Linked DNA regions of Nothobranchius furzeri. The protein of the gene in region 1 interacts with the protein of each later gene in a pairwise test. Links are inferred from orthologs where the notes say so. Each region holds a gene or a part of one and is shown in the gene's direction. Other genes may lie near its edges. The genes, in order: RNA-binding protein with multiple splicing, prkab2, fam168a, creb5b and rhobtb3.

The links.
Region 2: the proteins of RNA-binding protein with multiple splicing (region 1) and prkab2 interact in binary tests that used the Homo sapiens proteins (3 or more experiments, as listed by UniProt). The link is inferred for Nothobranchius furzeri from reciprocal best matches to the Homo sapiens genes RBPMS and PRKAB2.
Region 3: the proteins of RNA-binding protein with multiple splicing (region 1) and fam168a interact in binary tests that used the Homo sapiens proteins (3 or more experiments, as listed by UniProt). The two-hybrid records come from large-scale screens. The link is inferred for Nothobranchius furzeri from reciprocal best matches to the Homo sapiens genes RBPMS and FAM168A.
Region 4: the proteins of RNA-binding protein with multiple splicing (region 1) and creb5b interact in binary tests that used the Homo sapiens proteins (3 or more experiments, as listed by UniProt). The two-hybrid records come from large-scale screens. The link is inferred for Nothobranchius furzeri from reciprocal best matches to the Homo sapiens genes RBPMS and CREB5.
Region 5: the proteins of RNA-binding protein with multiple splicing (region 1) and rhobtb3 interact in binary tests that used the Homo sapiens proteins (3 or more experiments, as listed by UniProt). The two-hybrid records come from large-scale screens. The link is inferred for Nothobranchius furzeri from reciprocal best matches to the Homo sapiens genes RBPMS and RHOBTB3.

The regions. Positions count from the first base shown.
Region 1 is NC_091742.1:66,798,569-66,804,531, forward strand, and holds the start of RNA-binding protein with multiple splicing, read left to right. Parts: upstream 1-1,762; 5' UTR 1,763-2,219; coding exon 2,220-2,282; intron 2,283-2,293; exon of another isoform or gene 2,294-3,820; intron 3,821-5,963.
Region 2 is NC_091751.1:56,441,251-56,447,481, forward strand, and holds the start of prkab2 (5'-AMP-activated protein kinase subunit beta-2), read left to right. Parts: upstream 1-2,090; 5' UTR 2,091-2,209; intron 2,210-2,269; exon of another isoform or gene 2,270-2,432; intron 2,433-3,410; 5' UTR 3,411-3,434; coding exon 3,435-3,593; intron 3,594-3,694; coding exon 3,695-3,852; intron 3,853-4,196; coding exon 4,197-4,290; intron 4,291-6,231. UniProt on the Homo sapiens protein: Non-catalytic subunit of AMP-activated protein kinase (AMPK), an energy sensor protein kinase that plays a key role in regulating cellular energy metabolism.
Region 3 is NC_091753.1:35,545,481-35,551,789, forward strand, and holds the start of fam168a (protein FAM168A), read left to right. Parts: upstream 1-2,900; 5' UTR 2,901-3,094; intron 3,095-3,228; exon of another isoform or gene 3,229-3,349; intron 3,350-6,309. Other genes in the region: kbtbd3 (kelch repeat and BTB domain-containing protein 3), read right to left, coding at 43-216, 297-479, 604-766, 847-1,124.
Region 4 is NC_091745.1:35,736,922-35,743,148, forward strand, and holds the start of creb5b (cyclic AMP-responsive element-binding protein 5), read left to right. Parts: upstream 1-2,210; 5' UTR 2,211-2,331; coding exon 2,332-2,361; intron 2,362-5,693; coding exon 5,694-5,771; intron 5,772-6,227. UniProt on the Homo sapiens protein: Binds to the cAMP response element and activates transcription.
Region 5 is NC_091743.1:55,653,721-55,658,860, forward strand, and holds part of rhobtb3 (rho-related BTB domain-containing protein 3), read left to right. Parts: intron 1-1,842; coding exon 1,843-2,009; intron 2,010-2,108; coding exon 2,109-2,205; intron 2,206-2,537; exon of another isoform or gene 2,538-2,810; coding exon 2,811-2,929; 3' UTR 2,930-5,140. UniProt on the Homo sapiens protein: Rab9-regulated ATPase required for endosome to Golgi transport. Involved in transport vesicle docking at the Golgi complex, possibly by participating in release M6PRBP1/TIP47 from vesicles to permit their efficient docking and fusion at the Golgi.

The DNA.
Region 1 (5,963 bases):
CAACAGACGCTGTCGCCTGGCAGACCAGGATGGCGGAGCCGCTAACAAATGCACACACTCAGGCTCACAATGACATTGTGACATCATAATGTACCAGCTAAAGTCATAGGGTACCTTCTTAGCCAATAGCGATGGCAGTTTTAAATTCAAATGCAGTGCAGAGTTTTTACCTGAAGAGGGCACAACACTGACAGTTTTAAGCAGAATATTTAAATTTGAACTAAGATTCACTAAAGTGCCAAAGTATTGACTACACGTGTCTATAGCATGGTTGGACAATATAGTTTATCAGCAAAAAAAAAAATAAATTTGATTTGGGGATGACTTGCTCTTTAACTGTCCTTGTTTCTGTTCTTTGCTTATTTTAACATTGAAACTTTTTGAATCTGCAAATACATTTAATTTTCAGACAAGGAAAGTCTGAGTAATTACATTTTTTTCATCACTGACAGAAAAAAGGGTCCAAAACAATCTGTCCCATTGTGGAAAATTAGTTCCCCTGCTCGTTAAATCATGAATAAACTGTGATTTATACAACCCCTAGCAACACACAGAAATCACTTGAGCAGAACCTGTTTGCTACACGAAGAAGGCTAAAATCTCAAAAAGCAACACATCGCGTCCCGTTCTAAAGGAGTTCCAGAACAAAATAACCTAGAACAACATCTAAAGCACGGCATGACTCTGCAATAAGAAAGAAACTACATAAATGGCACCATGGAATAACTTCAAGGCCAGAACCCCCACTAAACAAAAAGATCACAAAGACTCGTCTCACATTTACATTTGCAAGATAAAGTATGTAAAAGTATCTCAGTCACAACAACAGATAATCTGCTTAAACTAAAACCACACAAATAAGTTCCCATGTTCTTATTGAACACATCATGTAACCATTCACCTTGCAGGTAGATAAAGGAGTCAATCAATGAGATGAGCCTGGAGGTGTTGGTTAAGGCCATCCTGACCTATAGAAAACACACACACACACCAGCTTTGAGTTTGCTTTAGATGGACTTTGTGAAAGGTGTGCAGTTGAGGAGATAGTCGAGCGTGTATTCGTCAGATGTGAGAGATATGTCCCCACACTGGTGGGGATGAGCTACAATGTAGCCACAGCTGCCCTGGGGTGCACTGACAGGGGCGAGGCTGCTGTACACAGGCATCACCAGTCCCTCCGATCACCAGCAGCAGGCAAGGTGGGTTAAGTGTCTTGCCCAAGGACACAACAGCAGCATTCTCTGGTGGGAGCTGGGATCGAACCTGCAACCCTCTGAATACTGGATAACCCACTCTACCTACTGAATTAGACTTTAACCTTTGTGTGTCATAAAAATATTGAACCATAAAAAATAATTAGTTATAACGCGAGTGAGTGAGTGAGTGAGTGAGTGAGTGAGCGAAAGGTTATTTATAGCAACCACAGAAAAATGTCACAGAGTAATTCACAAGGAAAATCACCCAAGAATCAAGACAAAAAAAAAAGAATAAAGTATAGTAAAAATATGAAAAAGATCAGTTAAACAAAAATAAAACTAAATGGTTGAATAAAAATAATTAAAAACAAACAGTAAAAGTTTAAGCAAAAGTCATTTGAAATGACCGGGTCTTTTAGGTATTTAAACGCATAAAACCACAAAATCACATTTTTTGCGTATTTAATAAACAAATGTGTTCTTACAGCGTGACAACACGAAGCAGCGCGTGAGGAAAACGTTGCAGGAATGTTTCAGGGACTAAAATAACATCTGAGCTGGTTTTCTAGATGATGGATGCAGATTTTCCGGTGGAGGGTAAACGCTGCATCCCACCCAGACCCCTCCCTCCGCGGCGCGCGCGCGGACGTTACGGACTCGGAGATGAAGAGAGGAGGAGAAGTTCGCCTCCGGCGCACGTACAAGGAGCATTAACTCCGTTTCAGGAGGGGGAACAGCAACAACAAGCGCCTCCGGTAAAGCTTTCCAGGGAATGCTGAGGAATACCCGACAGGAGAGGAACACCGCTCACAGCTGACTCCTGTTTTTACCGCTTTTGATACCAACAAAGAAGAAGAAGAACCAGAAGAAGATCAGCCGTTATTGATGCGTACTGGTAGAGTGCGGTGAGAGAAGGACAGCCGGACTCCCTCTGACTGTCTCGGGGAGCTGCTTTTGTCATCATTCGTGGGTTTTGGAGAAGAGCAGAGACCAGAGAAGAAGTGAAAGTGTCAAAGACTCAGAATGAATAACAACAAAATCGAGAAAGAGAACGAGCCGAGTGAATTCACCAACCACGAAGAGGAGGTATGTATCCTACCTGCTGCCTCCGCCGCGCTACAAGGGGCGTCAGGGGGGTTCGTGTGACTATTTTAGCCGCCGAATTCCTAAAATATCTGTTTTCAAGAGAAAAACGAGAAGAAACCAAACTTATTCAGCTTCTATCTAAGTTTCCTCCACCACAGCTCACCAGGTTTCCCGCTATCAACTTTTTGTTGTGAACATCTTTGAAGTTCCTGCACCAGTAAAGCCAGACAAAAGTCAGAGCGTTTGTGATCCGAGGTAGAGTTTTCAGCCAAGCCGCTGAAGTTCAAACATCTGCCGCTGCAACATGTTGGCAAGAGCTCTTAAGTATCCCAGGCTCACAGAGGAGAATATCTCCTTTCATAACCGGGGCTTAATTTAATCTAAACACACCAGATTGATGCTGTTTGTCTGAAAACACGTGATATAATTGTGTTTCTCTCTCTCCCCTCCTAAATGGATAAGAGAATGGCCCAGTTTCTGTAAACATTGCACAATCTGGTTCAGTGATATCTCTTGTTGTGGATGTCTGTGTTTGGGGTTTATTTGCTTTGGCCCTTTTCTGAGCTCCACATCTCCTCAGAGGAGAGATGGAGACGTAGAGGAGGTGTATCAGATATTTCTCTTTTGGAGTAATCTGATTAGTGTCGGTGCAATGTAACTGAATCGCCAAACGGACTGACTTAATACCATATTTGGTTCGTGGCCGAGGTTTCTATGGATGCACTGTGGGTCTATGCAATCAAAATTACCATTTTAGAAGTTCATAAACTAAAAGAAAACAACATCTGTGGGTGTTTTGTTTGATCTGACCAAGAGGAAGTGCTATACAAATGGAGTAAACCTCAATTCTGAAAGCAAAAATCAAAAATTTCAGTCCTATGTGACATAAATAGTACATTTGATCTCTATCTTCATCTTACAACATTTCATTGTCAAATGTTACATTAAAGTTCCAGTCCCATTAGTCACCACTCACTGGTGTAATTGCATCTCTGCATTTGACCCATCCCAGCAGCAGTGTCTGCGCTCTGGAACTATTGTATGGTTTAATCTCCCAATCCAACCGGGATGTGAACCCCGATCCCCCAGTCCCAGGGTGGACACTCATACCACTAGGCCGCTGAGAAGGTTTAAGGGTATCCTCTGCGATAAATACGCATCGTCTACACACGTCTTTAGTCAGTGTCTCTCTGCTGACAGGGACTAGTCCCACCTTAATGAGGAGGGTCTTTTAGGGAATATGAGGCAAAAAAAAACTGCAACAGCCATTCAAATTTTCTCGTTATGATTTGGTAACAGTGTCCTAACTGTGTCCCATTTTGTTGGCCAGTTTTCCCTCATTTGATATGTTGATTTCATCATCAACCATTTCAAAAGCTGTCTCTCATTTTTCTTCCTTTCTGACTCACGGAAATTCAATTTAGAAAAGTTCTGGACAGTTTTTTGAAGACCACAGTGATTCGGAATGTTTTCGGTGAGGAAATTTATCTGAAAACACAAGTTCAGCGACAACACTCGAGGAAGTCCTTGGAAATATGGTGAGAGGTTTTGGAAACTTTTAAATGCAGTTTGGTCCTCAAGAGCTGTATCACAATGAGATACTTGTGTCTTTATTCTTGAATCACAACTCTCCACACATTATTGCTTCCACTGTCACTGAGATCAACAAGCACTGAGGGTTCATTAACATACAGCTGTTGTAGATCTCCCATCAATACTGGAATTCATATCAGTGTAAAAATAGCCAAAAACCTGCAAAAAGATATAAACTGGCCCTCCTTTTTATTCAGCGTAATAAATATTTCACATTTTTGTAATCAGTCAAACTTTGGAAACAGTTTGACCTTGGATTTTATTCTGGAAGGTCTCGTTTTCATAGGTGGAATACATCAAACACTAATCAGCAAATGTCAGTTATTTAGCGATTGGTTTGTTTGCAGCCTTGTGTTGTTGGGCAGTTAAACCTCTCAGCTCGCCCGTGGCGCACGTTTGAATTTCTATCATGTCCACGAGCCGAAGGACCAGACGGGAGCCGTCTGTAGCCAGCGCACAAACAGGGGGGAGTAATGGCCAGAGGAATCTAATGTCTTAGAAATGTTTGGAACTCATCCAGGACAGTAGACACTTACATTTCCTCGGATGAATTAACATAAGGTTAGACCGCGGCACTTTGTCTTCGTGGAAACAGCATGTGGTGTTAGTGGGAGATCAGTGAGGCTTTCGGGGGAGTTTGTGCTTTTGACAGGCTCTCTTGTGGACATGCTTCAGGTAGGTTTTGCACAGACGCACACGGTGCTTGGTATAATAGCAGGACGAGTTTATGATGGGGAGTTGGACTGTCTCAGCCTTTTAAAATCTTCCCTACGCTCCATCAAATACACCAAATACCTAACCGCTGTAAGTTTAACAACACCATAGCAACTGTAAACTGTAACCTTATAAGAGCTAAAGTTTAACAGCCTTGCTGGTGTGACTCTCACATGCTCCCCCCCCCCCCCCCCCAACCCCCACTTCTACACACTCTCAAGTCAATGGATCACTGATTCGCACCAGTAAAGCACTGTTGCAAGCTTGGCTCCTCATGCCTACTTCATTGCTCAACCTCCAAAGCTCGATGATGCTTAGTGTTTATCTTTCGCGGACCGGCGCTCAACCAAACATGGGCTTGTTGCAGGGCGAGGTATGCAGGTTTCGGCCCCCGCGCTCCTAATCTAAAGAGTCGCTTTGATAAGAATTATTATCAGGTGTTCTGGATGCTTTACGTAGTGCAGCACTCAGCCGACGATGGAGCTGAGGTGAAATATGGTCGCCTGCATGGTGAATGTCAAAGATATGTTGTAGCCAGGGCCAGTTTCCAGACCTTGTTTGGATAAAGGAATTTGGAGTGGACCCTCTGTAGGTTTGGAATAAACTGATATGAATAGGGCTTAAGTAAGAAATTATAATTTTATTCAGTTTAGCTAAGAAAACAATGACATGGAGTATATTTACTAACAGTGAGACTTCCAGGCCTTTTTGTCCTATCAGGAAGGAGACGCATTCAGACAAAGAGCAGACGCTCGGAGATGCTGAGTTCATTGTTTTTGATCAAGATTTAGGCCAATTTAAAAATTTCTTCTAGACTTTTAATTAAACAGATGCTGATGTATTTTTTTTTGTTTCAACCAAAACTGAAAAAAAAAACTGATGAGTTCACAATGAAACTGTGATATTGAAAAAATATATATATATATATATCATAAAAAAATATACATATACTGGTCAACTGTTGAGTTGAATATTATTTCCATTGTTTTATTATGTGTTTAAAGTTCTAGTCACACTTTACAATAAAGATTCCTTTTTTAATGTTACCTAATGTGTTATTAAGCATTAACTGCTTAGCTATATTATGTAATGTATTATTAAACAGAACCCCCCTTGGCCCTTTGTCCTTACCTTAAAGAGCAAGTCACCCCTTACAAGAAGTGTACTTCACTCCCACTTCATGTTTGAAAAATGCAACAAATGCTGTTGCCTTGCAGACCGAGAGGGTGGAGCCACTAACAAATACACACACTCACGACATTGTGACATCATAATGTACCAGTTTACATCATAGCATACCTCTTAGCCAACAGCGGTGGCAGATTTAAATTCAAATGCAGTGCAGAGTTTTTACCTGACAACGGCACAACACTG
Region 2 (6,231 bases), on another chromosome or scaffold:
ATAACACACTCTCTACTTTTACACTTTGTCCCAAACAATAGATGACACACACACACACACACACACACACACTTCTGAGGCTACATAATAGTAAAAAAACACAACATTATATATTTAGTTTCAATGTTTTCCAGGTAATGACTGTGACAGGAAAAGTTTGTCTTAACGGAAAACTATTTTCTGTGTGGAAAATAGTCACCTGCCACATTTGTGTCAGAATGAGAAAATCAACACTGTCTGAGTTTGCACACGTCTAAACACTGGAGACAGGATTTTACACTTTTTAGTTTTAAAACGACTTGTTTTACAGGACTGCAAATGTTCAGGTGGTAGCTGCTGGTTTTAAAAACAACACATTTTTCTAACGGTGGAACAATGCCTGTGTGTGTGTGTGTGTGTGTGTGTGTGTGTGTGTGTGTGTGTGTGTGTGTGTGTGTGTGTGTGTGTGTGTGTGTGTGTGTGTGTGTGTGTGTGGGTGTGTGTGTGTGTGTGTGTGTGTGCGCACGCACACGTGTGGGTGTGTGGGTGCGTGTGTGTGTGCAAAGACATGCATGTTGTGCAATGTGAAAATAACTCACCCCATATTCTTTGTGATCATTTAATTGTGCCTTACAGCCTCTTGATGCAAATCTCTGCGATGAGTTTTTTAGCTGCATATACTGTTTTAATGTACTGTACGTTTTCAGTTAAGCTTATTTATTGGACTGACTGATTAAAAACTGTTATAACAGGTCCGACTGAAAATACCTGCAAAGACCACATTCTTGTCACGTGTCTCTTCTTTGAAACAGATGATTTAAAATGGGATTTTTACTATTTAAAGAGGACAGTGAGTGGTTTCTCTTTACATTTCTGATCAGCAGTTTGAATGAGACCCAAGCTGTTTTTATTCAGAGTTAATATTATTTATGTTTTCTGAAATCTGATGTAGACAAATGACTTTATATGCATGTTTGAAATCACTAATGTCTTTAATAATAAGCATGGATTTGTTGAGTTGAGAAGTTGCTGTTGTTAAGTTAACTGCGGGAGAAAAAGGTGAGGAGTCGAACGAAGCAAAACTAGTTATTAATGTGTTTACAGAAAGGAAACCCAATAGAAACGTAGGCAGCTAATTTTGCATTTGGAGGTTCTGGTGACTTCTTGCTTATAAGTGGTAATTTCTGTTTTTTTACAGTGACTGTTCATTGGTGTAACAGGTTTTCTACTTGTCTCATGGATAAATAAAAAAACTCAAGATATTCTGATATTTTACCTTATTATCTGCATGAGCGCTTAATGAAATTTAACTTAAGTATAGCTTAATGAATTGCAACTTGAGGAGGAGACCAATTTAATGCTGTTTTTTTTTTTTTTTTTAGTATTTATTCTTATGGAGAGTGTCAAACATTGGTTGTAAGAATAAAAGGTCTGCAAAGTTTTTAAGCCAAAAATCAACACTGCCTGGTCTTTTTTGTCCCTTCTTTGTTCTCATCGGTATGGACCTTATTTGCACGATGTTTGCTCCATGTGATCAGCTCAAACTAAACAATCAGCTGGCTTACCCTCCACCATTTTCACCTGAAATAATCAATGGAAATAGTGCATAATTTCTGTTTTTATTTCTCAGGATCTTGAAAAATTTTAGTGTTATGATACTGAGATGTTAAAATAGTTATTAATGTTAACTAAAGTTTAAAAGTGCCCATTTAAAGCAACAAAGCATTAAATTAATATAATCAGCTTATAACATCTGAAAAATGTCTTGGGCAACGCAATGTATTTTGTTAAATATTCTAAAGCATTGGCGCTACTAGTTAAAATAAAGCTACTTTTAAACTTCATTGTGAATAATGTGATTTTTTTTTCAGAATGGAATTTGTTTACTTTGTTTCTTGCCTCCAAACGTAAACTACATTGATTCTAATACTTCAATTTCTATTTTTCCTCTGTGTGCGTTCTATAATTTTTTCATACAACAATGAAAAAGTTTAATTTTCGTTGAAAGAGGAAAACAAACGTATTTATTTAGATATTACAAAGGTAACAACCCCTCAAATGTAACTGACGTCACGTCTCTTCCCGTTCCTGATTGGCTAAAATCACTTTTTGGCCTCTGCGCTCGCCGTACTCGGAGCCCCGCTGTGCTGCTGTTGTGAAAAGTGGAGGACGCGGACAGGTCTTCGGTTTGAAGACAAACTGCTGTCCTGAGGAGCGGCAGCTGGTGCTTGTGAGTGTCTCCTTTGTAGCTACACGGGAAACCAAAAGCGTTTCTATTTAGCTGCATAATTTGTGTCGTTAGCAGTCATTATTAAAGCAGACAAGTCGTTTTTGTTTGTTTGTTAGTAGTGGCTGCTGGTAGCTAGCTAAGTTGAACTGCGAGCAGCATCTAAAAATATTCACCCTGGCTGAGCTGAGGTGGACAGGAACAGCCTGACGTCCAGCGGGCAGTGGTGGGTTACGTTGACTTTATGATACGGCACATGTGGTTTCACCTGTTGCTCATGAAGCTAGAAAAGCTTTTTAAAGCCGTTAAGCCTTTGGGCTAAACCACACAGCTCACCGTTGTCATACGCAGCAGTGATGCACGCACAGTTCCAGTCATTTTAACACATCAGTTACTGTGTTTTTGCAGCAGTAACACTGGACTGTGGACAGCTGTTTGCTGTCATCACGTTCTGATACAAACTGGGTCTCTTCATGACACCTTGATCTCCTGATTGTGATCCTGTTGTCTGTTTAGATGTCTTCAGCAATGGTTTGGGTCAGCTGATCAGGCATGGGACTTGGGTTAGTGGTCAAATACAAATATTTAACATTTTTATCTAATATGGGATTTTAAATAGACTTCTAATTGGACTGATTTATATATTTGTAAAGTGTAAAATCATAAACTAAAACTTTTTTGTGTCTTTGTAGTATCTTGATTCACATGTGTTGTGTTAACAACAGCGTTATACATTTGCAGGGTCTCTAGTGTAATGTAAGGTGCAGTTCTGGGAAACATTGGTGGAGTTTCTTTGCTGGCTGGTTCTAGTCTATTTACTGTATTACAATTTTATCTTGCAAATTAAAACGAGAAATTTAAAAGCCATTTATTTACCTCAAATAAATGGTAAATGGCCTGTATTTGATATAGCGCCTTCTAGAGCCCTGGAACCCCCCAAGGCGCTTTACAACACAACCAGTCATTCACCCATTCACACACACATTCACACACTGGTGGGGATGAGCTACGATGTAGCCACAGCTGCCCTGGGGCGCACTGACAGTAACAGACAAATAACTTCTTTTTAAGTTCCCTTGACAAAAGGCAAATTTCTTACTAACAAAATTTTAGTTGCATTTTAAGCTGTGGTTGTTAGTGTCTAAACGGCTGGAGTTTTGTAAAATTGGATGTTCATAGCAAAACAATTCTCCTGACCTTGCAGTGGGAAGTCAGGCTGTGAGGCATCATGGGAAACACCAGTGACAGAGTATCTGCTGATCGCCATGGAGCGAAGGCCCAACGCTCCGACAGCAGTGGGAGTCACAAGGACCAAGAGACCAGCAGCAAGTTGGTGGACAGCACAGATGACCCTAACATCTTCAATACCCATGGACCTGAGTCAAAGGTAACCCTCCGGCAATTCCGACTAGGGTGCAGAATCGTTTCTTTGCTCTGTGTGATCAGTTTTCTGAATATCTATTGATGTTGCACGTTTGCTGCTTCTAGACATCAGGAGAAAAAGAATTCACCCCAGATCTCGACGACTTGGTTAAAACTGGTCCTCAGGCTCGACCCACTGTAATCCGCTGGGCTGGAGGGGGAAAAGAAGTCTACATAGCCGGTTCTTTCAATAACTGGAGCACAAAGATTCCACTAAATAAAAGGTAAACAAATTATTTTGTAATTCTATCTCACTAGGAGCTAGCTCAGGGGTGGACAACACTGGCCCTTCAGGGCCACTATCCAGCATGTTTTAGCTATTTCTCTGCTCCAACTCACTTTGTTTAATGGTTGTGTCACCTGCTCAGTGGCTTATTTAGCTTGTTAATCACCTGCTGATCAAAATCTGTAGTGTTGAAGCAGGGAAACGACTAAAACATGCTGGATGGCAGCTCTCGAGGACCGGGGTTTTCCCCCTCTGAGCAAGCTGCAGGAGTAGAGATCACTTAAATGTTTTTATTCAGTTTAGATTATCTGGTGTTGCACTTAAACTCTTTTCTTTTTGAAGTCACAATGACTTTGTAGCCATTCTGGACCTGCCTGAAGGAGAGCACCAGTACAAGTTTTTTGTAGATGGACAGTGGCTCCATGATCCATCCGAGGTACAGCAGACCCACCTTTGCTCTGCTTGTTTTTCTTATCATTCACCATATTCTCAGTGCCTCCTAAATTAGTCTAAATGTCTCAGAACAGTCAGTGTGTTTACATGCACATCAGAAAACCAAACTGTTGCCCTAAGTAGACTGACGTGATTTTTTAAAATCACGTAAACATGTTCGTCTTGCTGAAGGTGAACTGGTTGTTATCGTAACCAGATAATGCGGTAGAACACAACTGCATCTGCATGTAAACGGCTCCGCCAAGCTGATACTGGTAACTGCTGAATGTGACGAGTCTGCAGAAGTGGTCTTCTGACATTATCACCACAAAGTAACAAGAACCAGCCGTCTGGACTTTGCGCAGCTGAACCGAAGTAGTAACTGGATCTCTTTGACTTTGACACCGCTCGTCTTTGGAGATTAACGGATGCTCCGCTTATTCTGACGAGCAACGTTAACAGAAACACAAACTAATGACATTAGCAGCTGCCCGCTCCAATTGCACAAAAACGTTTTGTGAAATTATTGTAACAAGACTGTTACCGCGGGTTACAACAGAACTACGCACCACACCGGCGTTATCACTTTCATACACATTTATTTCACAGGACTGATCTGCAGCACAGTTCATCCCACTGCTGCCTCCGCTCGGTCGGTCGGTTATTCCCCAGCCGGCTCCTTGTTCCTGCAGCCGTGCATAATTATATAATAATATACATACGTCATTAGATGGCTATAACTTGTTTGTGTCTGCACATGTGGAGCAGATATTTTGTTGTTTTATCCCATCATGAGACTTTGTCTGCCACGATGTGGGCTGTTTATCCACTAGAATTGCCTGTTACCACAGCCTTCAGCCTATTTTATCCGCTGGAAACCTGTAAAATGTAACTTTACTGTCTTTCTTTCATCTATTTGTGCAGCCTAGAGCTCTACATGTGTTAACCATGCTGATAGATTTTATTTTGCTGTTGTTTAGCTCTGTTTATTGACAACTGACAGCTAAACACAACAGGGGTCAACATGGATGTGCTGGCTTCTTGCTTTCTAGCCAGAAGCTGGGTGGGGGGTGGGGGGGGGGCGCGCACGTGACGTCACACTTCAATATCATTGCCCCTGATCGTCGTACCCCTGATTAGTCATCAAGACAAACCTGAAGAATTTGGGTGTTGTTTTTGACCAATCAATGTTTCTTGATGGCCACTCAAAAACATTGGTCCGAAACTGTTTGATCACATAAATATCTCCAAACTGCGAAGGTTGGTGTCAAAACATGAACTTGAAATGATTCTCCATGCCTTTATCTCCTCCTGTCTAGATTACTGTAACACACTCTTCACATGTTTTAACAAAAAAGCCCTTGACGGCCTTCAGTTGGTCTAGAACTCTGCAGCGAGGCTCCCAACTGGAGCAAACAGAAGAGCACACATCACTCCTATTCTAATGTCTCTGCACTGGTTACCCGTTAACTTTAGAGTTCATTTTAGAATCGTGACTATAACTCTCAGGGCTCTACATGGTCAAGCTCCTCCCTATATTACTGAACTGTTAAAGCCTTATGCTCCAACCCGAGCCCTCAGGTCCACACACCAGAACCTTCTAGAAGTTCCAAAGACCAGATATAAAAGTTAGGTGATTACTCCTTCCAGACTGTTGCACCCTGACTTTGGAGTGATTTTCCTTTATCCTTATGCAGCATTGACAGTCTGGACACTTTTAAAAAAACAGCTAAAGACCCTTTTATTTAAAGCTGCTTTTACCTAAATCTTTTATTTTCTTATTTTTAACTCAAATTTGTAATCTTCTTCCATTTATTTTACTTAATTTTTTCTGATGTTAATCTATTTCTGTTTTGAGATCATTGTTTTGTTTTGATCTATGTGAAGCACTTTGTGATTCTATGCCTGTCATAAGTGCTATATAAATAAAATTGACTTACAAAAT
Region 3 (6,309 bases), on another chromosome or scaffold:
ATGTTCTGACTATTTGACTGTCTTCATACAATTGTTTTCTACCTTCAGCAAAGCTGCAGGCAGGTGATGCAGTCGTGTCAGGGACATCAGTCCTGGTAGCAGTTTCTGTCTTCCAGGCAGATCATGGCGAATCCATCTGAGAAGCGCCATTATAACAGCCTCTTCACTGGGCACATTCAGGGCGTCTGACTTCAGGCAGGCCTCTAAGATGTTTTTCTGAAAGTAACAAAAGAAACCCATTCTCCCCCAGTCTACAGAACACACCATTTAAAGTTTAGCTTTCTGAACTGAGGTACCTGCATATCTAGGAACTCCTGGGTTTTGGAAAGGTCATAAAAGTTCTGAACCACAAACTCGTTGGCATTGTGCAGAAGAGAAGCGGAGCCATACGCCTCTCCCAGAGACAACAGGGAAAGACAGTTAGAGAGATCCATGGATCCTATCAGAAAGTCACTGCATGCTCTGGACAGGATGGAGACCTGAACACACAGCATAGTAGGTTAAATTATCATGAGATAATGCTAGAATGTACTCAGTGTGACTGAAGACATGTTTATGGTGCATCCTAAGGGTGAGGCATTCTGACAATGATTGTAGCTCTACCTGCAGAAAAGAGGAAATCTGAAACAGCATGTCCACATTCCCATCATTGATGAGAGTCTCTCCAGAGTAGGCAAAGTCCAGGAAAGAAGCCACAGCCACTGGACACTGATGCAGAGTTACTGATCCATCACCACACTCTCGCATATCTACCTCAAACATGGCCCTAAGCACAGCAATTACATGAATTAGACTGTATAGACAGACAGACAGACAGACAGGCAGAAAGACAGGTAGGCAGGCTACCTAAAGAAATCACTGCATGCTGCAAGAACACAGCGATGACAGGGGAAACTTTGTTCCTGTACCCTGATGATGAAATCAAACAACAAGCCTCGTTCTCTGAAGGACCTGAGCACACACAGAAGCTGCAGTCCATGGGTCTCTGACACACGAAGCAGTGTCCGTCTCTCTGGGAGCCCGTTGTCCTGTGGTGCACTAACAGTTTGACCTCTGGGAGGGCTGGAGCTGCTGGGGTTGTGGGAGGTAGTCAAACTGGCAAGTGACTCTGGATACTCATCCATATTGCCAAAACCTAAAATAATAATAACAATAACGATTATGATTATGGTTGCACAAAACAAATAAATATGTTTTGTATTTGCAATAAAAAAACCACTAAAAATAAACAATAATCTATTCTAATAACTAAAATAAACAGTGTGTGCACGCTAAGAACAAATTACTTCAGCAGCCCTATCATTTACTCTTGTCTCTATTTTAACCCTAAAACCAATATATGGGTGTTTAGCTCACTTGCGGCTCAAGTTAAATTTGTTACACTTATGTCGTGTTTTCATATCTCAAATATGAGACTGTAATACACTTGAAACTATTCAACAAAGCAATGTGGAACGAGAAGAGATACTCACGGGTTCAGCACCTCGGATAGCTCCTGTCACGTTTCGTTCTAACCTCCGGAAACGTAAAATAACGCGATAACTCGCGCAGCTTTTTGTTTTGGGTTTTTTCTTGTCAGGTCTTTGGCTTCTTACATAATTTAAATTGAAACTTATTTTGTTCAAGCGACAATTATAACACACTTGTCATAGCTACAACGGTCTAGCTGTATGCTAGTGTGCAGCTTGAGGGACGGGAGCGCAAAGGCGCCTGGGAACTGTAGTTCTCTTTTTATGAGAGCGTATGATAAAACCTAAACCATCGACATATATACGGTTGAAACATTAGCCTATAGTGAAGTCCGACCTAGGTCAGCATCCAAGCGATGTCAGACATCTTTTCTTTTGTATTTTTTAGAGAAATGATGCTAAAACCATTCTGCAGACTCAAAATGGGCTAGCTAACTGAAACACCTAGACTTTTTGCACTTTTAACTAATCTATAATAATTGCATAAGTAATTGCACCTGTGTATACGGCAATAATGCATTTTTGGGGATTAGTTGGGACCTCATAAACATAGGCTAAAATAAAGACAGTTTTTACAATATTTTAAGTTTATATAAAACTAAATAAAAATAATTTAAATAAAAGCAAGTGTCCTTGAATAAAACGACTTTATGTGAGGATGAAGGGTCACAGGAGGTCTTAACCATCACTGTTATAAAATTCATAATTTACATTTTCTGGTTTGAACTTTCTCAACGAAAATTATTAGAGTAAATAAAATAATAAATCAGTACTAAGATTATATATAAGTGTAGGTATATATTTAACAAAAATGCCTAAAGAAATCCTAAATTCCCATGCTGGATCTTCCGAGTTCACTATTACCCTTAAATGCATCATAACCATCAAGTGGTGCATGCTGGTGCATTCATGGCCACTTGGTGGTGCTGTTTCACTGTGGAGAAAGCAACGGATAAAGCATGGGACCGAAATGAAGAGTGAATAAAACAGAAGAAAAAAAATCTGTATTGGTGAACATGAACTTCCACATATCCTGCAGTTTAATTTAACCACCACGCGCAGTTTATGACAAAATAACACGATTCTTCTGGTCTGAAATATGAATACATACTGATCTACAGTCAACGTGATCTGAATATGTAATAATAATAATAATAATAAATTAATGTGATTTTTTTAAAAAGGAATCATAAAGTCTTTATCTTGATCATTTTTCATCAGTAAACCAACCTATTCTATAGGAATGATTAAAGGATGGATATATCCGGATGCCATTCCCATAAAACAAAGAACTGCTGTTCAAATTGTAATTGTGAATAATACAAATCTATTTCCTTTCTATTATTAGACACCTTCCACTTTACATGTATCGGTGGGTCATGCCCCCACCTCTGCTTGCATCCCTGCATCCCTCCCTCCTTCTCTCCCTCCCGGCGGCAGTGCATCCCCCATCCCCCACACGGTGGCCGTCTCTCCGGTTGAAAGCTGTCTTCCCAGCCGCCTCTGGCCCGACAAAACGCTGCTGTAGCAGAGCCAGTCCGCACCAAGCCGAAGCTGAGCAGAACCACGGGAGAGTGCACGTACACACCAGGGGGAGTCTTTTTCTGTTCGACCGGGTGGTTTTGGTGAGTCTAACACGCTTTTTATTGCGGACGGAAGGAACGTCCATGTTTCTACTTTTTAAGTTGTTCGGTTTTTTTGTCTGTTTTTTTCCCTTCAATTGTCCTCCGTGAGGAACTAGCGGGCTATGCTATGCTAAGCGGCTAGCTCAATTAGCGGATTCTACAACTTGGCGCATCGGGAGTGTTTTAAGTTATTTACGGTCAGTCGTTAACATCGACCCTGGCTTTTCACGTGCCGCCCGGTCAAACTCAACCATGGTTAGTGTTAATTGTCTTTTCTAATCCGTTTCCCCGGCTAGAATGCTAATTATCGATTTGAGCAGCGTGTACGGATGGACGCAGGGATGCGGCGGTGGGTTAGCGGTTGTCTTTTCAGCCGAGCTTCCAAAGGCTAAGCTAATGGTAGTTTTATATGACACGGGTTCCTGCTAAGGTGTGCTATAACAGCCACTCTAAATTCAGCCAATCTAGTGTTAATTGGCAAGATGGCATCTCGGAGTTGTTATCCAGAAATCGGTGGATTTTCAAAATGGTGTCTTAAGCTTGTTTGAGTGTGACCATTTTTGTCCAACCAGTGCTGTTTTGGCTCCAGTTGCTATCTCTGTTATGCAGCGCATGCCATGCTTCGATATAATATCATGTAAATACTCAGCAACAACAAAGTAAACCGTGTCCTCAAGGCTGCAGACTGCGTTATTAGGCGTAAAGAAGATGTGTTTTGGGTGGGTTTTATTTGTCTCTCTTGGCTTTAATGCTGTCAGGTTCAACAGGAAAGAAGCATGACGCACATCCCAGCACACTGCTTTATCTGGATGTAATTACGTGTTTACAAAATGCATCACTGGATTGTTTTTATATTTTAACTTTTTTAATTGTGAATCCCAAAACTAATAGTCACAGGTAGGACTTGTGTCTTTTGAAAGACGTGATAATCTTACTGTTTATATTGTTAAACTGTAGGGGATGGTGTTTTTTCTCAGTAGTACTTAAAGAGACAATGTGTAGTATTTACCGGTAATCTCTGCAAATATCCATCGAAATGTTGTTGAAAACGAATAAAATGATGCCCAGTTGTAGAAAAACATTGGCAACTTCATAACGTATAACCTTAAAATACATGGAAGTCTTAGTCTCTGGGTGACACCATATTAGATGCCATGTTTCTTTTTATGGGAGCCAGTGAGGACATAATACATTCACTGATATGTAACAGTTACAAAACTTTATTCATTCATTAACATTGTTTTACACATTTACCTCTTCACTCGTTGCCAGTGATGAAAGAAGTCTGGTGTGCCTGTCATTTTGTTGGAGGTTGCACTCCCAGGGATTTTTTACCCCAAATGGCCATCCATTGGTAAGGTCTAAAGCCTCATTCATTCTTCTCCATCTGCGCAGGTGAGGAGACACGTAACGCTATTATGAGTCGGTGCAAGGGCTCGACAGTCTCACAGAGGGTGACAGAGACATGCCCAAATTTTTAAATATCTGTCAAAAGTGACGGAGAATGCTAGCTTGTGATTAGTCAGGACACCGCTTCCTTTAAATGTGTCAACAGCTCCGCCATTGTCCCGTCAAAGGTAAAAAGATATTTAGCGGCAGACACGGAACAGATTGAAGAACTCATCATGGGAAAAAATCCAAAAATATGAACGCGTATTCACCCGTGACTGAAATGTGGAGCAGATGTTTTATTAATGGACAGAAACGATGGGGAACGTGGGTTTAGAGGTGGCGACCACTTGAGATGTGGAGGAGGATGAAGGACAAATTCGCCTGTGTTATAAAGTCTCTGAAGTATAAAAACACATTAGTAAATACACCATCATGGACCGGATATATGAGTGTAATGGTGGCATGATGCCACAGAACAGCGCTATGCCCTCTGTTGTCTTGCGAGGAGTTGCTTTGCAACACTCCCCAGGAGACGAAGTGAGAGAGCAAAACGTCTCTGTCAATGCATGTGTGTCTCCCTTTACAGAGCTGACAGAGAAATATAAACCAGACTTAAAGCTTAATTTATATTCCTCCGTCAGCTCCACGAGGGAGACACATGCACTCACAGAGACGTTTTGCTCTCGGACTTCTCCATCTCCTGGGGAGTGTTGCAAAGCAACTCCTCGCCAGGACAACAGAGGGCACAGCGCTGTTCTGTGGTATCCTGTCATGTATCTGGTCCAACATAGAGCATTTACTATTCTGTTTATATTGTGTTTTTTGTATTTCAGAGACTTTGTAACATGGACAAATTTATCTCTCATCCTCCTCCACCTCTTAATGTGCTCACCACCTCTAAACCCACATTTCCCATCATTTCCGTCCACGGATAAAAGCTAGCTGCGTATCTTTTCACTCCCCCAGTCATGGGTGAATAAAACGTTCATATTTTTAGAATTTTTCCGTGAGGCATTCTTCAAGCTTCTCTGTGTCTGCCACTAAATATTTTTGGTTTTCTTAATGTTTTTTAGGGCGCGATGGCGGCACTGTCAACGACAGTGGCATCCTGACCAATCACAGGCTTGCGTTCTCCGTTTCGTTGGACAAATGTTTAGAAAAGAGAACTCGACTCCGTCCTTGCAAGCCTCCTGGAGAGCCCTCGAAAGGACAGATAATGGCGTTGTGTGCGTCCATCCCGACTCAGACCGGGAAGAATAAATTAGGCTTAAGTCTCTTGATGACGCCATTTTAGATTCTGTTTTCTTCTACCTCTTCGCTTGTTGTCGGTGATGAAAGGGAGTCTGATGTGCTCCTCAATTATTTATTAGAAACACTTTATTTTCATAAAATACAAACAATGTCATCTTCTAGTTAATTTTTATAAAGAAAATAATTTTAGACAAATGAGAGTATATTAAAATCAACAACACATCCTTTCTGGGATCTTCACACTGAAATTTGATATTGGCAGTTATGAACTAGGATAAATATTTTTTATTCTAAAGATGCAGTAAAAAGCGAGTCTAAGCTAAAGCGAATGCATCTCTCTTCAAAGAGTTCAAATGATTACAGGTCCTCGTTGGATTGCGTCATCAGCCTAAGGTGACCTCTGCCTGGTTATACTGTGGGGGGTGTCTCCTGTGTGTGAATAATGGAGTCTACAAGGCAGCTGTAAAACCGTCAGACCATTGAAAGCTGGAGCCATAAAATGTTTCGACAGAAAATGGTTCTCTTACAGACGACAGTCTTTTCAGCACTTCAAATAGCATAACGATTAGCTT
Region 4 (6,227 bases), on another chromosome or scaffold:
TTACCCAGATACGTCATGTTAGGACAGAAAAGGAGCCAACAATGGATAAAAACATGAGATAGCTCTATGTTTTGATGTAGACAATATCCAGTTGGTTTTAAAAGACACACAGTGGCGACGTTTCAGGGTAAAACTGCCGCTACAGCGTGTCTTTTGAATGCGCCATGGCGGCATGGCGAGGCGAGAATATTGCGCCAATTGTGCCGCCAAGCTCGATAATATTCCTGCAACACCGGACTTATGTATGGTGATCACGTCTTTGTGCAACAGATGGTGATGTCATGATTACTTATCAAATGTGAGCCAAGGCAACAAGACGGAGGGGAGACAGTATCCGCGGAGACGACTGGAGCGATGCAGAGATCCGGGAGCTGCTGGTCGTCAGAGCTGAAGAGCAGGATGTGAGAGTTCACCGGGTCTGTGAAGGACAAACATGATCCCACTTTTCCTGCCACAGACCCGGGCAGGGCTCGAGGAAAGTCGGACCTTTGGATTGTTATTTTTCATCATTCATTTTGCTTGAAAGGTTTTTTTAAACGACATCCACACCACCTTCGACTGAGATTTCTCTAAAAGGAAACTAAACCGTTCAGCCTTGTGCGGCTCACTGATGCGATGGTGGCACGGGAGTTAAGTGCTCACCTCGTATTCAGAAGGTTGCAGGTTCGAACCCTGCTCAGTACGTTGTGCCCTTGGGCAAGACACTAAACCCACCTTGCCTGGTGGTGGTGGTGGTCGGATGGACCGTTGGCGCCTCTGTCAGTGCGCCCCAGTCAGAGCAGCTGTGGCCACATTGTAGCTCATCCCCACCAGGGTGTGAATGGGTGAATGACTGGTTGTGTTGTAAAGCGCCTTGGGGGGTCCAGGACTCTAGAAGGCACTATATCAAATACAGGCCATTTAGCATTACTGATGGAAGCTGGAGCCTGCTAGCTGAAAGCTCGGCCCCCGCTCCACCTCTGCTCTAGGAAGCAGTCAGTCTGAGGCCTGAGTGGAACACATCAGCTTGGCCAGGTTGTATTTCTCAATGAATCTATCTGACTTTTTCCCCATTTGCACACAGGTTTTGTAAATAATTAGTAATGTTTTAGTTGTACTTGTATCTTTTTGCCTCGTGAACGCGCCTGCGGCCACAAAATATCATCACATGATCTTTTCATCCCAAGGTGGTTTTACCCAAAAGCTTTCCACAAAGACATAATCATAAAAGGTTTAGTATAATATAGATCACATCTCTCTTTAGTGTGGGCCACTGACCTCCAACTGTATCGGCTCTCTCCAGCCTGATAGTCTGTTCTTCTGGAGGCATAATGTTTGGATTGGTTGGGAAATATATTGGCAATAAAGAGACAAAAGGATGTCATAAACGTTGATTAAAGCTCTGGTTAAAAGACAGAGGCGGAGAAGCTCTGAGTTATGAGGGCTTTCCAGACTGCGTTATTGTTTCAGTGACAGAGCTCTTAGTGTGTCTGGTGCAGTGGTCGCAGGCCAGTGGTAAACATTTCTCAATGTGCGAGGAGTCATTAATCCCTGTGGGTTTGAGGATGGCTTCGCTGCTACCGGTGTCTGTGGCTGAAGAAATCACAGCCGGTTGGCACCAGCAGCAGGACACACCGAGCCCTCAGACAGGAGGATCTGACTCCGGCTTAAATCTCTCAGCTACAGATGCAGCACTAACGCTGAACTACCGCGTTTTGGAAGCAGAGCTTAATTTAATTTCAAAATGTTAATGATGAATGTGGTCTTTCCAGTTTGTGGACTGCTTATAAAGATCAGAAGAAATGCAGGTCTTCGTTGATTTAGTTTCGATGTTTCTTCATTTATGTGTGACCATTTCAGTTAGCACCTGTGAGTCTGTGACTTGGTTATATTAATCACACTTCTCACTGGGGAATTATTTAGATTTTGTTCCAGCCGACTGATGTAATATTTCAGCAGAGCCGTCTAGTCATTTATAATGAATTTTATTTGTTATTTTGGTTGATGGTTCTCCAGCTAATTTAACTAATGCAGCTGAGTTTATGGGACAGCGCCACCGTGCTGATTTGCCTGCGGGGCTTTGTTGCACCGCACCCACTTCAGGACCAGCGGTCTCCGTCCATCCATCCGTCCATGCTCCTGGGCGTGCACTCACAAGCCCCGCCCCGCTCGCGCCGCCTACCAGTGGACCGCAATGATTTAGAAGTTCAGGAATCCCACGTGACGTCACCCAGGGGTGACGTTATGGTTCTCTAAATAGATCGTATTGTAATCTTTTCTCAGTCCAACGTGGTTTCTTCTGAGGGACTGCTTCATATTTTCTGCACTTGGTAAGTTGGAAACCTTGCCACCATGCAGACCCTCGTGCACGAGCCTCTGCAGGTTGGTTGACTTCGTTAAAAGCGTTTTTCTCCTCTCTCTCTCTCTTCTTTCCTCCTCCATGAAACAGCTTGATTTGTTCGCTTCAGCGCTTTTGGAAAAAATATTATTTTGCTTTTCTTATCCCTGCAACAATGTTAAGCTCGCGATTGAAAGTCTGGTGTGAGTTTCGTGTTAAGTGAGTGCATTGTCATGGTGTGCGCGCGCGCGTGTGTGTGTGTGTGTGTGTGTGTGTGTGTGAGAGAGAGAGAGTGTGTGTGTGTGTGTGAGAGAGAGAGCGTTTGCTGCTGATTGTTGCTGAAGTTGAACGCGGAGTCAAGTGCCGCAGCTCGGTCTGTCTGCCTGTCAGGTCCGCAGGAATTCATCTTCCGACATCCGCAAAAAGGAGGATTTTCTGCACGCCGCACATTAGTTTCTGCACCTCCTCAGCGTTTCCTCCCAGCTTGCGGGTCTGCGCATCACCGGTGCGCCTGTCCCGTTTGGGGATACGCGGAGCCGCACCGCTCCACGGCTTCTGTTTCCATCAGATCTGCTTTTTTAACGTTAAAAGCAACAAGAGCAACATGACGTCATTCTGTGGGATGTAGGCCGATCAGATGCTGAGGTTTCAGGAAGGTGCTGACGAGAAAGAAAGAACTTCAATTATTTAATTGCTTTCATTATGTTTATGTGGCAGCACTGTCAATAACCACTTTTCTTTCACCCACCCTTTAATTATTGCCCAGACTTCCGGTAACAGCAGACAGACCGAATGACGAAAATAGATGGATTACATTTCCGCTACCTTTAAAATTATTTACCGATGCCGTTAATAAACCCTCTGGTAAACAAGGCACCAGATGTAGAAATAAAACTCGTTTTTTCAACAACCAAACCTTGCAAGATTCAGCCAAAGTTGCAAAATGTCCTGATTAAAATATATATAAATCAGATTAAAATTTTAATCACAATTCTAATTAAATGAATGATGAAAAATCAAAGAAAAACCCAAAATGTCAAGTCTGGTGGATCTCCCTGGGTAACTGGTTTTAATTAGTAACCTTGAAGCAGATTCTTTCCATATTTTATCAAGCTGAGTGCAGCTCAGTGGCTGATTGCAGCAGTGAAATGTGACCCAGACTCGGTTTCATGTGCTTAGGGTAGTGCTGGTGAAGGAGTCAAACGACAGCAGTCTCTTGTTTCATGCCCTAAGTTTTTATTGCAGGACTCATTTTCTTGCCCATACCCCGCTTTACAGTACTAAACTTCTCCAGTCTTCTCGCAGACATGTAGCTCAAGAGCACAGTTGTCATCTGGACCACGCTCACTGCCTCAGAAATTGAACTTGTGCTGTCACAAGCCGAGGTTATCGGAAGGTACGTTTTGCTCTGCACGTTTGTGCTCGTTTTAACCCCACGTACCTTTTTGCACCTGACTCCCGCCGTTTGACTTCAAACACAATGTCTGGAGAATTCCTTCCTCTGGAAATCGAAGGCTGGACTAACCCCCCCATGCACCTCACTTACACCGGTTTATAGTTAATGTGAGGTGTAACCACATTTCCTCTACTAAACTAAAACATCGACACCTAAAATGAACCAAGTGCCCCATTTCCAGGAAAGGGGCATCAAGCATCAGGTAGTGTGAAGTGCAAAAGCAAAGGAACCATTCACAGAGGCATCTACGGGATGAATGGTGGAGTTTTCTGCATCATGTGGTTCGAATGTCGTGGTAATTGGGCTGAAATGATCAACCCCAATATTACAAACAGAAAAAGGAAAGAAACGTGTATTTTTTATTATTGGTGATCATTGTGGAAATGACTTAGATGCAGCCAAAAGAAACAGCTGAAAATTACGTATCCGTGATGCAAATGTGGCAGAAACACACGAATAACCGGGGTGCCGCACAAGTCACTCTGTTTAGTTTGTTGCTGATGTTTGTTGTGTCAAAGGTGACCAGGTGAGTTGTTGGGGTCCCTGCAGAAGAGCGAGGGAACTGGTCTCCGTGGTCTCTGACAGAGAGACCCTGTCCAGACCCCGTTCCACAGGCTTGCCTATGAAGCACAGCCTGTTAGGAAAACACCACAGCCTAGCATAACACAATATTAGGGTGTTTTGACTTCTCTTGAGGAAACAGTCTGCACGCATGAAAAAGAGAATTTTATGAACCTGGTGCATGAAAGTGTTCTCAAAGAGCGTTTCAGATGTGGCACTGGATAAATGACAGATGCAGCACAGTTCTTGTCAGCTTATGGTTAGGATTAGAAAAGTGATTAGCTGTATTTAAAGTGTGTAATAAATGAGAATTATATCCTGCAGTAACTCCGTAGCTGTTCCATTCATCCTGATGGGAACACACACTGAGAGTTTCAGACTGAACACGCCACAGATGAGGTGACCTCCTGCCCTCATTTGGTGACACAAAATACGAAGATATTGAAAAATAGTAACAGAATATTTTCATTATTATAAAACACTTTTTCATCTCAACGTTGTTTAAACATCCCAACTTCATTTGCTAAAGAGAAAAAGACAGAACGAGAAAATTGTGATATTTACATCAAGAGGACTAATAACACAAAATTCTTTCTTTGTCAGTGTTTGGAATGTGAAACAGCAAAAGTTGAGTAAAAACGTGAACAGCCTTTATGCTGCCAGACATGCAGAGATTACCGGGTGGCTCTCCAGCTGGAGGGGTTCTGATGACAGCTTCACATGACTTTGCTTGTTTTACATTATTAGTTCAAATCCATTCAGAAAACATCGTTCCTGTTCTCGTGTCTGACTCAGGTTTCATGCATGACCTGAAGAGTCGATTAACGTGTGCTACGAGACACTTTTCTGGTGAACAGGGTTGGGGTCGGGTATGTTTTCTATCTAAGAGGATCTAAGAACCAAGCTAAATGTGTTTAGAGCTGTAAGGACATTTGGATTAAAAGTTGTGTTTATATATTGAAAATGAATTTAACTCTTAACTAACTGTCCACTGCTTACCTTACAGAACGTTCCTCAACACAACTCTAGCAACTAAATCAGCAAAACCTTTAATCATTTCGCTGGTTTGATGCATCAGAAATTTGCATCTTCGCTGGTGATTGTAGATCAGTGCAGAGCAGCGTGTTCATTCTTGAGAAAACATTTATGACTTAATTTAAATTAGCTAAACGAAACAGGATTAGTACTTCTTACTGTATATTTGTTCTTATACAATCTATTGAGAATACATGTTATGCTTTAGCAAAACTTCGTATATTTTATGTAAAAATGCATTTGAAATATACTTTTTCAAGCTTTTTCAAAGTTACTGTTTCAAGGAAACAACAGTTCATATTTTCTTTTTTATGTTTTCTCTAGTTTTATGAGACTCTGGCCAGAGGGATGAACTCAGACCAGGAAAGGCTGTTTGTGTGTAACGCTCCCGGCTGTTCTCAGGTCAGTGTGGGTACAAACCAAAGCCCGAAACCACCAAGCAGCCAGACTTTCTTGTAATATTTGGTAGTGTTCTTGATCAATAGTTCTCCAGGTTTTTGGAAAGATTTTTATAGACTTTGACGGTTATTTTACTAGTTTTCTGTCCAGTTCTTAGGTTTGATCATGACACTAAGGATGGAGGACAAAATAAGTTTAGATCTAAAATAAACTGTCTGCAGCAGATGAACGATCTGAAAGTTGTATTTTTAATAAATGGAGAAAAGAAATCAATCAAAAAGTTGATCCAGGACGTGAGAAATGCACCATCCTGGTCTTGGCCCTGTGTCGCTACCTTTTTTTAATAAATTCAACAGAAAAATTGGAACAAGTGAAGTCTTTGTGACAGACTGATCTAATTTAAAACTGTATTTTTGTCTAGTTGCTTGTTTAGTGTTGATGCAACAGTGGCTCATGCCT
Region 5 (5,140 bases), on another chromosome or scaffold:
TATTTTTCTTTGTCCATTACTACTGTGGTTCTTCCTTTGTCTGCTGGTAGAATAATTATCTGTTCATTTTTGGATAACGCTGTCATGGCTGATTGTTCTTCATTTGTAATATTGCTGTGTTGAATTTGGCTGTTTTTTAATATCCCAACAACGTTTTTTCTAAGTTCTGCTTTCTTTCCCTCATCTGTGATCTGTTGACATGCTAGTAGTTCTGTTGCTACGATAAATTCATCATATGGTATTTTCTTTGGTGTTACTGCAAAGTTTAAACCTTTTTTAATATGCTTTCTTCTGCTTCTGTTAGTTCATATTGTGAAATGTTACATACCCATGAGCATTATGTGGTGTTATCTTGTATTTCTTCCCTCTTTTTCTTGTTAATGATTTTGTTTAACTTATTTGAGTCTTTTACTTTTATGAACTTTTTCCTGTTGTTCCATCATGTGTCTTGTAATTAGTTCCTCCGTTTGTTCATCAAGTTTGTAATTTCTTTTTAAGTCCAGGTGTCTTCTTTCCAGTTCGTTTTCCACTTGCTTCTGTTTGGTTGTGACATTTCTTATCCTTTCTTTGAGTAGTGCTCTCTGTGCTCTTTCCATTATGTTCTGTGCTGTCTTGGTCCGGATCGGTGTTTTCAGCTGTAGGCTTGTTGGTGTAATGTTTTCGTCCCGGCATCTTAAATTGAAGTGAAGGTGGTTCCAAAGACGTGCGCGTTTTTGATGCAATCATCCCAAACGGCGGAAGTCCTTCGTTCCTTGTTGTCCGTATTTTTCTTTAAACATCTTTGGTGTGTTCTTGCTGTGTTGAGTTTCAAATTCCATCTTTCAGTTCTTTTTAAAACACAGAAAAGGTTTATTTACCTGCAACGTTTCGCAGGTAAATAAACCTTTTCTGTGTTTTAAAAAGAACTGAAAGATGGAATTTGAAACAACACAGCAAGAACACACCAAAGCTGATACCAACCCCATTGTTTTTCAGTAACCATGTTCTAATATCTGTTTTGCAGTCTTCTGACTCCAAAACAAGTGTGTATCATTTATCATTTTTAGGACACATTAATAACTTAAACCAAGCATCTTTCCTTTCTGTTGTCAAAAAGTAAAGCCACAAATCCCAGGTTTAAAAAAGGTATTTAACTTCTATTTATCGGTTTGGTCAACATGACATGAAAATTCTCTTTTTCCAAGAGAGACGTGACCTACAACCTACAAAAGCACATCTGATAAAAACCACCTACGGGTGCAGTCGGTTCACTTTGGAAGTCTCAAAGTCCTGCCTGCTCACTTGCACAATGATGGTGCTTTTTAAGCATCAAATAACTAATTATAGATCCATTTCCAAGAAAAAAGGTAAGAACTGTGTAGGTGTTGACACCTGACACATTTGAGGTCTTATTGGGGTAATGGTTGGACAGTTTTTGAAGCCTCAACTTTTACGTTCCAGATGTTTTGGTACCATTTCAATTTGAGATCATTTTAGTGAACATGGCTACCAACATCAACAAGTGGCTTAGTTGAAAGATTGCAGGTTTAAATCTTAGCTGCAGCCTTTATGTAGCATTCAAAGTTCATACATATGTAAAATTGCAGCTCAGTATCTGTAAAGACAACAGAGTTAAAAGCCAAGTTTGTGTCTGCTAACACCGATTAGATGTGGCAGCCATCTTTAACCAGGCCGACTCCAGTTGGATGAGCTGTAGATGAACACTAATAATTACTTTTCCAATATAATCCACCCAGTTCTCCAAGGCAGAAATAGTATGCCTTTGGTAACAAAATAAATGTGCATCATGTTATTGAACAGAATGTGTATAAAGGGTTTCACTGTGTGTGTGTGTGTGTCCAGCCAGTGTGCTGCAGGCCATGGCTGTACTGGTTTGTGCAGAGATGTATCAGGTGAAACGACTACAGCACCTGTGCGAGGTGTGTGTGTGTGCTTACCTTCAGAGCATGCCCAGTAGAGAGCTGGCATCAACAGGAATCAGCGTGGTCAGACTGCTCCGCAGGGCAAAGGTCAGTGCTACGTGTGTGTGGAGAGAAGCCAGCTTGTATGCTAATTGATTCAATGATAATATTCAGTCATCTTTTCCTTCCGTTTCCCTTCATTCTCAGTGCCATAACGCAGAGCAGTTGTACATCTGGCTCCTCCACTTCATCGCCAACAACTACCTGATCTTTAGTCATAAACCCGACTTCCTGGAGCTCTCAGGTCAGTGAGATCAAGTGAATATTTAGAATTATAGTGAAGCTTACAATAACACACTGTTTTCATGCTCAGAAAAGAAACCAGGCACAACATTCACATTTCTCAACAAAGCAGAAGTAAAATAAATGAAATGTAACCACAGAGATAAAGTTAGCTGTGAATTAAAGAGTTGCTGCTTCTAATGAAAGTTCACATTCAAACTTGATCCTCCAGGTAGCACTCACCTGTTTTTATGCTATCATCTAATAAAACCTTTATTTTAAAGTTTATGCCCCTCAAGGGTCTTTACAAGTATCTCTACGCATTTGCTTATGAAGAGAGATGAACAGCAACACTGTAGCAGAAGCATTTTATTGTCATGCATATAAAGACTCATTTATGGCAGGTTCTGGTTCTGGTGGGCACAAGCTTGTTGATGCGTCTTAATGTAAAAATGTTCGTTGATGTTTCAGTGACTGTGGTTGTCCTCAGGGCAGCAAGCTAAGCGTTTAATACTTGTGTGGATCTGAAAGCATGCATCAGGCATGGACAAACTTTCTCATCAGCAAAGCATCACAGGGTTGTCTGCAGTTGGTGATGGCTAGGAATGTCTATGTCTGTGTGTTCAGAGGAGGAGCGTGAGCAGGTGGAGAGGCTACGCTGGCCGTCCAGAGGATACCTGCAGGAGCTCAGCGAGTATCAGCAGCGGCGGCGCAATCTACGAAAGTCTCGCTGCTTAGTCATGTGACCACATCTGGAGGCCTAAACTCTGTGGAAGAGGGTGGGGCACAAAAGGGAATACAAGAGGAGAGAGAGAGGATAGTTGTCAAAATGTGAGCAGAAAGCTCAGACGAACCACACCTCCACCTCTAGAGGAATGACTCTTTGCATCAGGACAACTTCATCTTGGGCAATACAAACTAGGATTTTAAAATGACCATCTGGCCACAAGGCAGAGGCTCTGTGATAGATTATATTTCTACAAGATGCTAAATAATAATCAAATGTGCTAAATTATTCCATAAGGATTAAAAATACCAGATATTCAAACCAGCATTATGTGTAAATTGTTTCTACCCCCACCCTGACAACGGTGGTCTAAGCTGCACACACACCGGCTGCAGCAATAATTAAACCCACAGTAGCATCCATGTGTTGTTGGACGTAATGATTTGAAACATCTCTGGAGTCTGGACTTCTCAGATCAGATCTACAGCCCAGCACTGGCTGCTAAAGCAGTCGTTACTCATTTTCATCTGTAAAATATCAGAAACCCGATCAGCTTCTGAGCAGGACCAATTTAATTACAGCTCTCTTAGTAGATCTTTCACATTTATGATGCATCACAAGTAATTGTTTTGCAGCCAAATTGATTTATCTTGACAGAATAAATTTATTATATTTTGATTATAATTAGATTCAAATACCATTTTTCAGAGAAAAAAACGACATCTATTTTATATAAAAAATAAAGTGCAAACAAATTCGGATAGAAAATCAAGACCGTTCTGTGAATACACATCTGTCCATACCAATGTTTAGCTTATTAGATATCAGAAAACCTGAGTAAATACAGAAACAGTTTTAAAATTGAGTTTTTATTTATTTAGCAGATAAATTGATCCCAACCAACTAAACCTACACTTTTATAAACACCCTTGGTTGGTCAGAACTGGTAATGGTGATGAGTTTAGAGAGCATCCTGGACACTTCACTGGGGAGGTGTTGGAGGCATGTCCCGTCAGTGGGAGGCGTCCTGGTCGACTCAGGACGCGCTGGAGGGATCATATCTGTAGGCTCGCCTGGGAATGCTTTGGGATGCCACAAGAGGAGCTGGTGGAGAAGCCTGTTAGGGATTCATAGTTTATGGTTGAGTGTACACACCCTTTTGCTATTGAGGAATACCGACCTCTGACCTTAACCAAGTGAAGAAGTTGATTTATACAGCACTTTTCACAGACAAGTCAAAGTGCTTCAGACAAAAAAAAAACATACAATGAACACAATTACAATAAAACATTAAAGACTAAAGCTTGAAAACAACAGAATTACAATTATCAATGATCAATAAGACTGGTGGTGCTGGTTTAGGTGTTTTTCTGCATTAATGAATTTAGAATGGAACACCGTGTTTATTTCGCCTACTCCATGTTGTCAGACAGGTTTTGAGGAATTGATTACATTAGTAGTAGGCAATAATCTGAGTGAAACTGGACTCAGATTTCTTAATGTGGTTAATTCAAAATGTAGATTATTTTTTCCATTTAGGTCTATGCTTGTTTTTAATACACAAAATGATGATAAAAGTTGTATTTACTCAGGTTCTGTTGATACTGTCATTCGTTTACTAATCTGAAATCTTTGTGACAGAAAAGCAAAAACAATGAATCTGTGTGTGGGCACATAGGTTTTCACATCACTGAAACACTTCCTTTTTGAACTTGAGCTTCATACTTTGTCCTTTGGAGGGTTGTAGTGAGTCCTTATTTGGACCAACACAGTGAAAGCCTTTGATAGTGAAAATGATGTAGACTCCATATCACAACATAATTACAGTACAAACCTCGCTGCCTCTGGGTTAATAAGACAGTATTTCTTTTACCCATTGTTTTTGGTAGATTATTTTAAATAAAAATGAAATTATGATTTATGGTGCTGCAAATATTTTTGTAAACTATACAATATGTGTACTTGAAAAACATGGCCGCACCTTTTTACAGTCCAGCGTTTCTCTGCCATTTACTCAGTTTGAACTTAGTCATATTGTTGGGCTTTTTGAAGCCAATTATTTGTTTCACAAATTATTAATGTACAGTAACCATCAGTACCAGATGGTGTCCAGTTCTAGGAGTATCTATGCAGAAATGTAGCAGAAATCAGTGCATTTCTCTTCAGTAAATCACTGAGATTTTGACCATATGGATGTTTGGTATGCATTTGTATAAAATAAAATACTAAA